Linked DNA regions of Stegostoma tigrinum. The protein of the gene in region 1 interacts with the protein of each later gene in a pairwise test. Links are inferred from orthologs where the notes say so. Each region holds a gene or a part of one and is shown in the gene's direction. Other genes may lie near its edges.

Evidence for each region. The genes of interacting proteins can lie anywhere in the genome.
Region 2: the proteins of exosc8 (region 1) and tfap4 interact in binary tests that used the Homo sapiens proteins (3 or more experiments, as listed by UniProt). The two-hybrid records come from large-scale screens. The link is inferred for Stegostoma tigrinum from reciprocal best matches to the Homo sapiens genes EXOSC8 and TFAP4.

Annotation. Positions count from the first base shown.
Region 1 is NC_081359.1:85,239,847-85,246,106, forward strand, and holds the start of exosc8 (exosome complex component RRP43), read left to right. Parts: upstream 1-2,230; 5' UTR 2,231-2,426; coding exon 2,427-2,443; intron 2,444-5,824; coding exon 5,825-5,861; intron 5,862-6,072; coding exon 6,073-6,136; intron 6,137-6,260. UniProt on the Homo sapiens protein: Non-catalytic component of the RNA exosome complex which has 3'->5' exoribonuclease activity and participates in a multitude of cellular RNA processing and degradation events.
Region 2 is NC_081376.1:33,230,141-33,236,400, reverse strand, and holds the start of tfap4 (transcription factor AP-4), read left to right. Parts: upstream 1-2,166; 5' UTR 2,167-2,551; coding exon 2,552-2,640; intron 2,641-3,471; exon of another isoform or gene 3,472-3,853; intron 3,854-5,707; exon of another isoform or gene 5,708-5,949; coding exon of another isoform or gene 5,950-5,975; intron 5,976-6,260.

The DNA of each region.
Region 1 (6,260 bases):
TTTTTCCTTCTGCATCTGTTCCTCACCTCCCATTATTTCTGCTCGTAAGATAACAAGGTGTAGAGCTGGATGAACACAGCAGGCCAAGCAGCATCATAGGAGCAGGAAGGGGTGACGTTTCGGGTCGAGACCCTTCTTCAGATTAGTGTCGTCGACCCGAAACGTCAGCCTTTCTGCTCCTTTGATGCTGCTTGGCCTGCTGTGTTCATCCAGCTTCACACTTTATTATCCACACCCTGTTATCTTGGATTCTCCAGCATCTGCAATTCCTACTATTTCTGCTTGTAACTGGTGTCTTCCAGAGAGAAAACTGAGACAAAATATTTTTCTTTGCCATTTCCTCATTTCCCATGATATTTTTTCCTTCTTTGTTTCTAAGGGACCAAGAGCCAATATTTATTTTAAGTTAGTCTTCCTTTTTGCATATTTTTAAACACTCTTGTTATCTGTTTTAAGTTTTAAGTTCCAGACAACTGATATCCTCACGTTGCAGGCAACACCTGAGGATATGGATATATGGGTCACATTGGTATCTGCCAGCTCCCATATGCTGTAGCTACACTACATACGGTAATAAAATGCCCAGGAAGGTACTCCTGATGAGTTGAAACTTTAAAGAACTGCTCAACTCGTTCCAAATGCTCTTAAATTGACATAAACAATATTCGGGCATCATCCACTCCACATGTTAATGCCAAAGTTATTCCCTCAAACAACAATGTAGTACCTGCATTTTTCACTTTGTAAGCTTGGATGTGTGGAATATTTGTTTACAAAGGGTATAGCTTTGTACTATTGTTATTTCATATAAGTGTCACCAACAATCCAGCATTTATTGTGTTTCCAAAGTTACCCTCGAAAAGGTGGTGACCAGATGTCACCTTAAACTGCTGCAGATCATGCAACCAGTACATCCACAAATCCGTTACAGAGGAACTTTCAGGATTTCATTCCAGCAACGGTGAAGGAAACATTGAGAATATTCCATCACACCCCTGACTTGAGGCTGACGAATGGTGGACTGGCCTGAGGATTTGGTGGATACTTTACTGCAAAATTCCAAGGCTCTGATCTGCTCTTGTAGCAAAATATGTAGAGTTCAGTTTCTGGTCAATGGTAAGCCAAAATAATAGTGAGATCCAATGACCGTAACACCAACATTCTTGGTTAGCAACTCAAACAACAATATTAATAAGAGTTAGATGTGTGGAATGTTTGTTTATAAATGGTATTGCTTTATACATTTTAAAATTTGTTTATTGCCTTAAACAGTCAATCCTTCCATCACTGTCACACAGTGGCAGCAGCGTTTATGTGACGCACTGCTACAATTTGCCAAGGTTCCATCAACTGTACTTTCAAAACCTGCAACATCCATCTCCTAGAGCAGGCAGCCAAAAGAGGCTGGGGTCGACAGCAGAAGCAGGTGGCGAGGGGTGAGAATGGGTGTTCAGAGCCGGGGGCGGGGGTCAAGCCATTGTGGGGAGTGTGAGTCCAGCATGGCCAGGTACTTGTGGACCGTGGTGTTGAACTGTTAACATGTTTCTTTGTTTCCTCATCCCTTTTTAGCATGAAGAACTGCAATGTTTAACTTTATAACTTTGTTTTTCATATTTTTCTGCTTTATACCCAAGAGTTGGTACCTTTGTACGTTTGTACCTAAAATGGTGCTTTATGTGGATACTTGTAAATTTTTCATTGTACTCATGAGAGTAATGTGACAAAAACCTAATTCAATTCAATTCATGTCCGATTTCAAATGATATCATGCAGTCACCAGGGACCAACTCCACTTTGACCATATGTGGGAGGAATGGTATTTGATAAAAGTTGCTAAAGGTAGTTGGGCTCAGGACACTACCTGAAGAAGTCCTGTAGAGATATCTTGGGACTGAGATGATTTGTCAGCATTACCTGTAACACTTTTAGCGCAATTCATGACTACATTTGGAGAATTCTTCGTGAGTTATATTACCACCGACTCTTTAAAATATTAGGTATTATAAAATATACATTATAAAGGATATATTATAAATTTATATTTTTAGAAATAATACAATGTATAATTTAATCATAATTAGATATGCAGTATATTTTAAAAGCCAATGAGATGTATACAGACTGGTGAATGCGAGCTGTAAGACATTGTTTCCTGAAGATGCGGATTGCAGCTGTCAATCATCATGCTGCACCAACCAGCCACATGGCTTTCATTTCCGTTCTGCACATTCCACACTAAACTAAAAATAAGAAAATAAACCCCATGAAAGGGATTGGCCGTAGACAGAGCGGGGATTACAGGAGTCGAAGCAGGGAAAAATACAGCGTAGTCCAATGAGGGAAAGAGGCTCACAACCGTTCCGGCCTCTCCGCGGAATCTGCGAATCCAGTTCCCAGGTTCACATGGTTCAGAGAGACCGAGAAGGATGGCGGCTGGATTCAAGTGAGTGAGAGACAGGGAGAGAGAGACACACACAGAAACAGAAAAAAAAAACAAACAATCAATCAATCAATCAATCAATCAATGGGGGGAGGGGGGAAGACAGAGAGAGACAATGGGGGGAGAGGGAAAGAGAGACAATGGAGGGGGAGAGAAAGAGACGGACGGGGGGGAAAGAGAGAGAGACAATGGGGGGGGGGAGAAGAGAGAGAGACAATGGGGGGGGGAGAAGAGAGAGAGACAATGGGGGGGGAGAAGAGAGAGAGACAATGGGGGGGGGGAGAAGAGAGAGAGAGAGACAGACAATGGGGGGGAGAGAGTGAGAGATAATGGGGGGGAGAGAGCGAGAGACAATGGGGGGGAGAGAGCGAGAGACAATGGGGGGGGAGAGAGCGAGAGACAATGGGGGGAGAGAGCGAGAGACAATGGGGGGGAGAGAGCGAGAGACAATGGTGGGGGGAGAGTGAGAGACAATGGGGGGGAGAGAGCGAGAGACAATGGTGTGGGGAGAGTGAGAGACAATGGGGGGAGAGAGTGAGAGACAATGGGGGGGAGAGAGAGAGACAATGGGGGGAGAGAGAGAGACAATGGGGGGGAGAGAGTGAGAGACAATGGGGGGGAGAGTGAGAGACAATGGGGGGGAGTGTGAGAGACAATGGGGGGGAGAGTGAGAGACAATGGGGGGAGAGAGAGAGAGAATGGGGGGGAGAGTGAGAGACCACAGGGGGTAGAGAGAGAGAGACAATGGGGGGGGAGAGTGAGAGACAATGGGGGGGGAGAGTGAGAGACAATGGGGGGGAGAGAGTGAGAGACAATAGGGGGTAGAGAGAGAGAGACAACGGGGGGAGAGAGAGAAAGAGAGACAACGGGGGGAGAGAGAAACGATTGGGGGGAAGAGAGACAATGGGGGTAGAGAGAAAGAGAGATGGGGGGAGAGAGAGAGAGAGAGACAAAGGAGGGGAGAGAGAGAGAGAGAGACAATGGGGGGGAGAGAGAGAGAGAGAGAGACAATGGGGGGGAGAGAGAGAGAGAGACAGACAATGGGGGGGAGAGAGAGAGAGAGACAGACAATGGGGGGAGAGAGAGAGAGACAGACAATGGGGGGAGAGAGAGAGAGACAGACAATGGGGGGAGAGAGAGAGAGACAGACAATGGGGGGAGAGAGAGAGAGACAGACAATGGGGGGAGAGAGAGAGAGACAGACAATGGGGGGGAGAGAGAGACAGACAATGGGGGGGAGAGAGTGAGAGACAATGGGGGGAGAGAGAGAGAGAATGGGGGGGAGAGAGAGAGAGAGAGACAATAGGGGGAGAGAGACACAATGGGGGAGAGACGGAGAGAGAGACACAATGGGGGAGAGAGAGAGACAATGGGGGGGGAGAGAGAGAGACAATGGGGGGAGAGAGAGACAATGGGGGGAGAGAGAGAGAGAATGGGGGGGAGAGAGAGAGAGAGAGACAATAGGGGGAGAGAGACACAATGGGGGAGAGACGGAGAGAGAGACACAATGGGGGAGAGAGAGAGACAATGGGGGGGGAGAGAGAGAGACAATGGGGGGAGAGAGAGACAATGGGGGGAGAGAGAGAGACAATGGGGGGAGAGAGAGACAATGGGGGGAGAGAGAGACAATGGGGGGAGAGAGAGACAATGGGGGAGAGAGAGACAATGGGGGAGAGAGAGACAATGGGGGGAGAGAGAGAGAGAGAGACAATGGGGGGGGAGAGAGAGAGAGAATGGGGGAGAGAGAGAGAGAGACAATGGGGGGGGAGAGAGAGAGAGAATGGGGGAGAGAGAGAGAGAGAGACAATGGGGGGGGAGAGAGAGAGAGAATGGGGAGAGAGAGAGAGAGAGACAATGGGGGGGTGAGAGAGACAATGGGGGGAGAGAGAGAGAGAGACAATGGGGGAGAGAGAGACAATGGGGGGAGAGAGAGAGAGAGAGAGAGACAATGGGGGAGAGAGAGAGAGAGACAATGGGGGGGAGAGAGAGAGAGAGACAATAGGGGGAGAGAGAGAGAGACAATGGGGGAGAGAGAGAGAGAGACAATGGGGAGAGAGAGAGACAATGGGGGGAGAGAGAGAGAATGGGGGGAGAGAGAGAGAGAATGGGGGGAGAGAGAGAGAGAATGGGGGGAGAGAGAGAGAGAATGGGGGGAGAGAGAGAGAATGGGGGGAGAGAGAGAGAGAATGGGGGGAGAGAGAGAGAGAATGGGGGGAGAGAGAGAGAGAATGGGGGGAGAGAGAGAGAGAATGGGGGGAGAGAGAGAGAGAATGGGGGGAGAGAGAGAGAGAGAATGGGGGAGAGAGAGAGAGACGATGGGGGGAGAGAGAGAGAGAGACAATGGGGGGAGAGAGAAAGAATGGGGGGGAGAGAGAGAGAATGGGGGGGAGAGAGAGAGAATGGGGGGGAGCGAGAGAGAGACAATGGGGGGGAGAGAGAGAGAGAGAGAGAGAGAGAGAGACAATGGGGGGGAGAGAGAGACAATGGGGGGGAGAGAGAGAGAGACAATGGGGGGAGAGAGAGAGAGAGACAATGGGGGGAGAGAGAGAGAGAGACAATGGGGGGGAGAGAGAGAGAGAGAGAATGGGGGGGGGAGAGAGAGAGAGAGAATGGGGGAGAGAGAGAGAGAGAGAATGGGGGGGAGAGAGAGAGTGAGAGAGAATGGTGGGGAGAGAGAGAGAATGGGGGGGAGAGAGAGAGAGAATGGTGGGGAGAGAGAGAGAATGGGGGGGAGAGAGAGAGAGAATGGGGGGGAGAGAGAGAGAATGGGGGGAGAGAGAGAGAGAGAGAGAGAGACAATGGTGGGGAGAAGAAGAGACAGACAATGGAGGGGAGGGAGAGAGAGAGAGGGGAAGAAGGGGAGAGAGAGAGACAACGGAATGGAGAAGGAGAGAGAGAGAGACAAGAGACAATGGTGGGGGGAGAGAGAGAGAGGGAGAGAGAATGGGAATAGGGTGAGGGGTGAGAGAATGAGATTTGGGGGAGGGGTGAGACAATGGTGGGGAGAGGATGGGTATGGGGGCGGAAGGAGGGACAGAGAATGAGAATGGGGAAGGGGGAGGGAATGAGAGAGAATGGTGGGAAGGGGAGAAAATGGGAATGGGGAAGAGGGAGAGAAAGACAGAATGTGGGAAGGGGGAGAGAATGGGGAAAGTGGATGGGTGAGAGAATGAGAATGGTGGGGAGAGGATGGGTATGGGGGGAAGGAGGGTCTGAGAAAGGGGGACACAGAATGGGGGAAGGTGAGAAATTGTGAGGTGGTGGGTGAGAGTGCAGAGTGATGCTTAGGGTGTGACGTGTCATGAAAATGTATTTAAAATATTTTTAACACTAATTATTAAACGATGCAATGTAACATTGGATTATTTTCCCTCCTTTTTTCAGAATGGTCGAGCCTTTGGAATACTACAGAAAATTTCTGGTAGGCTGTTTCTCAATCGCTGTCATTTTTACTCATAATAAAAAATTAAATTTTAATTTAAACATTAAATAAAAAAAATTAAATGTAGTGAACTTTTGTGATAGAATGTTTGTTCGAACAATGGAATGATCCTACGAGGAATGTCACTGCTATATTTGTATCTTGAACTATGATGCTAAACCTTTTTAAATGGTATTTTGATCCATCTCAGAAAGAAAATTGTCGACCTGATGGAAGGGAGCTGGGGGAATTCAGAACAACAACTCTCAACATAGGTGAGAATTGAACAATTAATCTAATGCTTCCATTTGTAAAGCTCAAACTTGATTACTTTGATTTCTTTCCTGATGACCACATAAGCAATTTCTGTGAAGTGAGAACTTTTTTTAAGTCATTTTG
Region 2 (6,260 bases), on another chromosome or scaffold:
ATAGTTTCCTGTCTTCTGCTTCCCTCCATTCTTAAATAGGGAGTTACATGAGTCATTTTCCAGTCCTCTACGACCCTCACTGATTCCAGTGATTCCTGAAAGATCACCACCAATGCCTGTACAATCTCCTCAGCTCAAATTCCCAACTATCCAACCTTAAGCCTTTAAATAATCACAATATCTCAACAGCCACCAATTCATTAAGCCACACTTTCTTGACCTTTCATAAGCTTGTCTCTTTCCCTAGAACCGTTACATTTCTTCATCCTAATATTCCACAGATATGCCCCTCATCAACATCACAACCCTTTCTTTTTCTCATTTGTTCATTGGTAATGTTATCCAAAAGCATGGTGTCAACTTCCATATGTTCATTGATGACATTAAGCTCTACCTGTTAGCCCCTCCTCTATTTCTAAATCATCCGGCTGCTATTCGGACATCCAGAACCAGGTAAGCAGTTATTTTGTCCAGTTAAATATTGGCAAGGTGATGGTGAGTATCTTTGTTTTCCAACACAAGCTGCTTTTTCTACCTACCAACTCCAGCTCTTTCCCTTTTTTCAGGTGGAACTAGACTGTTCACTAACTGAATGTTTCACATCACTGAAAAGAGCTTCTTACTGTGCACCTATACCGTCATTACAACCGCCTGTTTCCACTTGAATAACTTTGCCTGATGACTATCCCAATGCACTTCTTACCAGCTGTCAATGTTCTATCTTCCATAAACCTGAGATCATTCAAAGTTCTGGCACACATGGCAGAGTTGAGTCCCACTCACCAAATAACACCGATATGAAACTTCTTGTCTTTTTCAACCATTCCATGAAGTGTATCCCATCTCAAGCTCTCTAATTACCTCCCTTCCTAGCACAGATCCTGGCCTTTTTGAAATTCCAGATTGTCATCACTCCGGTCTCCACTCTTAGAGAGTCTGCCTTCCAAATCTATGATTTCTATCAACAGAAAGGTCAAGCATCAGATATATAAGAATACCACTAACTGTAAATTTCCATTGAAACCACACACCATCCAGACTTGGAAGAATACTATTGCTCCTTCAAAATCCTGGAGCTTCTTCCTTAACAGCACTGTGAGTATACCCATCCTAAGGATGCAAGAGTTTGAGAAAGCAGCTTCTCCAGCACAGTTAGGGATGGAGAGCCTATGCTGGTTTAGCCAGGAATATGCTAGGAAATTTAAGAAGGTTATCTATATGTTTCAAACTCTGGAATTCCCTCCATAAACCTTTGCCTCTCTACTATTTCTTCCCACATTTAATCACTCCTTAAAGTCTACCTCTTCAACACAATTTTAGGTCATCTGACCTAATATAATGTTATGTGCCTCATTATGAAATGTTATTCCATAACGTTCCATAAACTGCCTTGGGCCTTTAACGGTGCTATGTTAATGCAAAATACTGTAGCAACGATAGATTTGTAATCCTGTCACAAAATTGCTATCTGTAATTTTAATCAAAGTGTTGCTTACTAAGTAATTCCCACACAAGTATTTGATGATGATGTGGGGGTGGGCGTGTTGTTAGCAAGGAGGACGAGATCTAGTCAATCTGCCCACTGCCCTAATAATGAGGATATACCCTAGGATTTGAAAAGCTACAAAAAAAATGACTGAATCCCACTTCGAATTGTCCAAACGAAAGGAAACAATGGCATGGAACTTTGTGGCTACCTGCTTGGCAGGCACTTTATCCTACTTTTTCTGAGCAATTCTTTCTTTGTGGTAGGTGGGCAGCATCACGCCTACCCTGTGTTCATAGGCAGGATGAATTCTGCAATTTTCTATTCCTTTCAGAGGAAAAAAAATGTCGTTTTCTGTGGTGCTCCAAGGATAGAGAAGCCGATAATATTTTAACATTGGAATTCTCGGGCTTGTGTTGCATTCCCTTGAATTCCCCGGCAGTCCGTTCCTCACTGGTCAAGATCGAAGCTTTCTCTTAAGTACACTTGGTAAAAGGCAAAGGTAAAATAGGACCTGATTGCTGCCTTGAAATGTGCAAGATGATATGTGGTGTCTCTTTAAAGCAGAGTTGGAGTAAGTGGGCGGGCGGGGGTTGGATTTGCGCCTCTCTGTGTTCTCAGCTGCTCCAATGTCACAGAAGCTGTTGCTTTTCCTCTCGGCGTTGCCAGCCCGTCAGCTGATGAGCCGCTTCACCCCACACACGTAGTGGCGTATGCAGAAACATATCCCCCCACCCACCTTTAACGGACCACTGCCCATTTCCTCCCCTCTCAGTTGGCCCCGGTAGCGTCCTTCTTTCTAATTTGCAGAAGCAAACCGGACTCTGCTTGCACCCTGTCCGGGGGCTCGGCCAGGACTGGCGCATAGTCCTTTGTTTACATGCAATCCCGGTCCCGGCGGAAGGAGGCGGCGGTGCTGCGAAGGCACCAGCTGTTTCCCGCCATTTACAACCATCTGATAGAGCGATCAGCTGGAAACACACACAGAGAACCAGAACTCAGCCAGCCTTTTATTTAAGGCGATTATTATTATTTGTGCACAATTATTTTCACCAGGTGCAAGACATGGAATATTTCGTGGTGCCGACTCAAAAGGTACCTTCATTCCAGGATTTCAGGAAGAGTGAGAAAGAAGTGATAGGAGGTCTCTGTAGGTGTGTACTTTTCTCTCCCCATTTATACATTTTATATATATCTCATTTTTCTTTTGCTACTAACAAGCGAGGCTCCATCTGCTGTCTGCATGGAGGAGCTTGCAGAGCCCCAGGAGGGAGGGGGGCATGCGGTGTTGTTGCTACTGTTTGCTGAGTGACGGGGCTGCAGCGGCCAGGACGGGTTCCACGTGGATTCGGGGTTTGGAACGCGGCGGCTCCAGGCAACATTCCAAAGCGGAATGGATACATTCGGAGGTTCCAAATGCATCCACGTGGGAAGAGCTGCAGCCACGTTCCCTGAGCTGGTTAAAGGAGGGACAGGGGGAAACCAAATTTCCGATCACTCCTTCCCACTCCCCTTCCCTCAAATGGTTGTCCAAATAAAACTCCTCACCCAGGGGCCCACGTGCGTCCAAAGTGGTCGCTTTCCGGGTGGTGTTTGCGGAAAGGTGGCCGAGTTAAAATACCTACGTAGAGGGTGTTGGAAAGATATCCCCTTCTACTCGACTGTTCAGGTGCAACATGAAGCATTGATCGGCTCTTCCGTCCCAGGGTTGGGGCCGAGGAGCGCTTTGGGCCTGCCTGTTCCTCTGCAGCCCAGCTAGAGGTAGCAGGCGTGCGGCAACCTGGGAGCTGTAGTCCATTTTGGCCGCTCGGAAGTGTGGGAATTGTAGTTTTCTTTTGCTTGCTGAAAGATTGTACTCTGAATTATATTTAACCCAATCTATCCCCTCTGCTGATCAATATTGTACAGGATTGCAATCGGACGAAGTTTAATGTTTAAATTATTTGCAATTGAATTATTAAGAATTATTAAGATTCAAAACGAAATACTGTGGATGCTGGAAATATTAGCAGATCCGGCAGCATTTGTGGAGACCAAAAGTGTCAGGTCGACGATTTTCGTTAGGATTCAGTCATCAACCTGAAACATTAACTCTTGTTTCTGTTGCCTCGGGTTTTGCCAAACCTGCTGAATGTGGAGCAGGGTGCCCTGTTGGGCTGAATGGCCAGTTTCTGTGATGTAATTCCTACAAATGTCTGGATTTCCAAACTTTGTTTGTTGTTGAATAGATTGTGTGGGAGTGTCAGTGCTGCCTATTGGATTACTGATATCATCTCTGAGGACCGATAGTTACATCTTGTCATTGCAACCATTGACACCTGATTGTACAGAATCCGCAACAGAAAAATAGGCTAATTGGCTCATCTGGTCAGTGTCAGATTTTATATTTACATACAGTCCTTATTCCTCATATATGCATTAATCCTGTTTTTAAATCTACCAGAGTCATCAAGTTCACAGCATAATATAACCTATGCTACCCTGGGAGTATTTGGTTTGTGAAGGTGGAGGTTTAGCTTTAGTCAGTATTTAATCTGTCCCGGAAGTGATAGATGGGACAGTAGACAAGGAACATTGTACCCAAATCATGATGTAGATACGTTGGGAATGTTTAATGAGACAACTGTTGATTTATTATTGTCACATGTACCAAGATACAGTGAAAAATATTCTTTTGTGTGTGCTATTCGGACAAATTGTACCTTACATAATACGTCAGGGTAATAGAACAGAATTCAGAATGTATTGTTACAGCTGCAGAGAAAAATCAACTCTAATATATGAGAGATCCATTCATAAGTCTGTTAACAGCAAGGAAGAAGCTGTACTTGAATCTGCTGGTACATGTTTTTAAACTTCTGCCTGAGGAAAGAGGATGAGAGAGAGTATAACAGGAGTGGGAGGGGTGTCTGATGATGTTGGCTGCTTTCCCAAGGCAAGGAGTGTATGGTTTTTGTGATGGATTGGGCTGCGTTCACAACACTCCAATCTCTTGCAGCCTTGGGCAGAGTACTTGTATACCCAGCTGTGATACATCCAGATAGAAAGAATATGGTTTATTGTGCATTAATTAAACATTGGTCAAGGTCATTGTGGACGTGCCGAATTTCCTTAGCCTTCTGAGAAAGTAGAAGTGTTGGTCTTGACCATACTGTCCACATGGATGGATCAGGATGGATTGTTGGTGATATTAACCCCTAGGAACTTGAAGCTTTCAACCATCCCCACCTCAGGAACATTGATACAGAAAGGGGTGTATCCTCCACTCCACTTTCTGAAGTCAATAACCAGCTCCTTTATTTGCTGACATTGAGGAAAACATTGTTATTGTTACACCATGCCACTAAGCTGTCCTTCTCTTTTTTTCTAATTTGCCTTGTCGCTGTTTGTGAACTGACCCACTACAATGATGTCATCGGCAAATTTATTAATGGAGTTAGAGCTGAATTTGGCCATGCAGTCTTGTGTATAAAGGGCTGAATACACAGCTTTATGAAGCTCCAGTGCTGAGGATTATCATGGAAGTGTTGTTAGCACCTATTGTTAGTGATTGCGGTCTGCAGGCCAGGAAGTCAAGGATCCAGTTGCAGAGAGGAGTAGCAGAGACCTAGGTCTTAGAGTTTAGAGGTGAGTTTGGTTGAAATTATATCAGAGATATTAGGAACTGCAGATGCTGGAGAATCCAGGATAACAAGCTGTAGAGCTGGATGAACACAGCAGGCCATCGCTACACCCACAGTCTCCACAGCTAGCAGCTCCAGAGGATACAGCAACACTGAGCCCTGCCGAGCCTTTACCAGCCCCCTAGATCTCCCCCTTACTGAGGACGAACGGTCAGTCCTCAGTAAAAGGCTCATCTTTGTCCCCCTCCACCCACACATTAACGAATACCAGTCACATTTGGATATTGAGCAGTTTTTCCGCTGCCTCTGCCTCCTTCCACCTATCTTCTCCTCTATCCATCTTCGATCCACCTCCCCCTCTTTCCCTATTTATTTCAGAACCCCCTTCCTCTCACCCATTTCTGGTGAAGGGTCTAGGCCTGAAACATCAGCTTTCCTGCTCCTAAGATGCTGCTTGGCCTGCTGTGTTCATCCAGCTCCACACCTTGTTATCTTGGTTGAAATTATGGTGTTGAAGGCGGAGCTGAAGTCAAATAGGAGCCTGATGTGTAGGTGTCCTTGTTATCCAGATGTTCAAGGGATGAGTTTAGGGCCAAGGAAATGGTGTCTACCATGGACCTATTGCAATGGTAAGCATATTGCCGTGGTCCAATGCAGTCTGGGAGGCTGGAGTTGATGCGTGTCTTTACTAAGCTCTCGAAGCTCTTCATAATAATGGATGTCAGAGCCACCAAGTGGTAGCCATTAAAGAACATTGACTGATTTTTCTTTGGCACTAGGGTGATCGTGGTCTTCTTGAAGCAAGTGCAAATCTCACACAAGAGGAAGGAGAGGTTAAAGATGACTGCGACTACTCCTGCCAGCTGGTCTGTGTAGGATCTGAGAGGGGGTTTTACTGTGATGAGAAGTGTTCACTGGACCTTTAAGCATGAGACTTGTAGACATTACTTGTACATAATTTTTTTCTATTATACTTTCATTCTGCATGTGACAGTAGCACCATTGTGGTATTTTGAAGCATCCTGTTAGTGTTTGGTACTTTTGTATTGTTTGCTGGAGTTTAGAATGGTCACAGTGCAGAAGGAAGGTATTCTATTCAATATATCTATATCTGCTGTTTGAGAGTTATTCGGTATCACTCGTCTGCATTT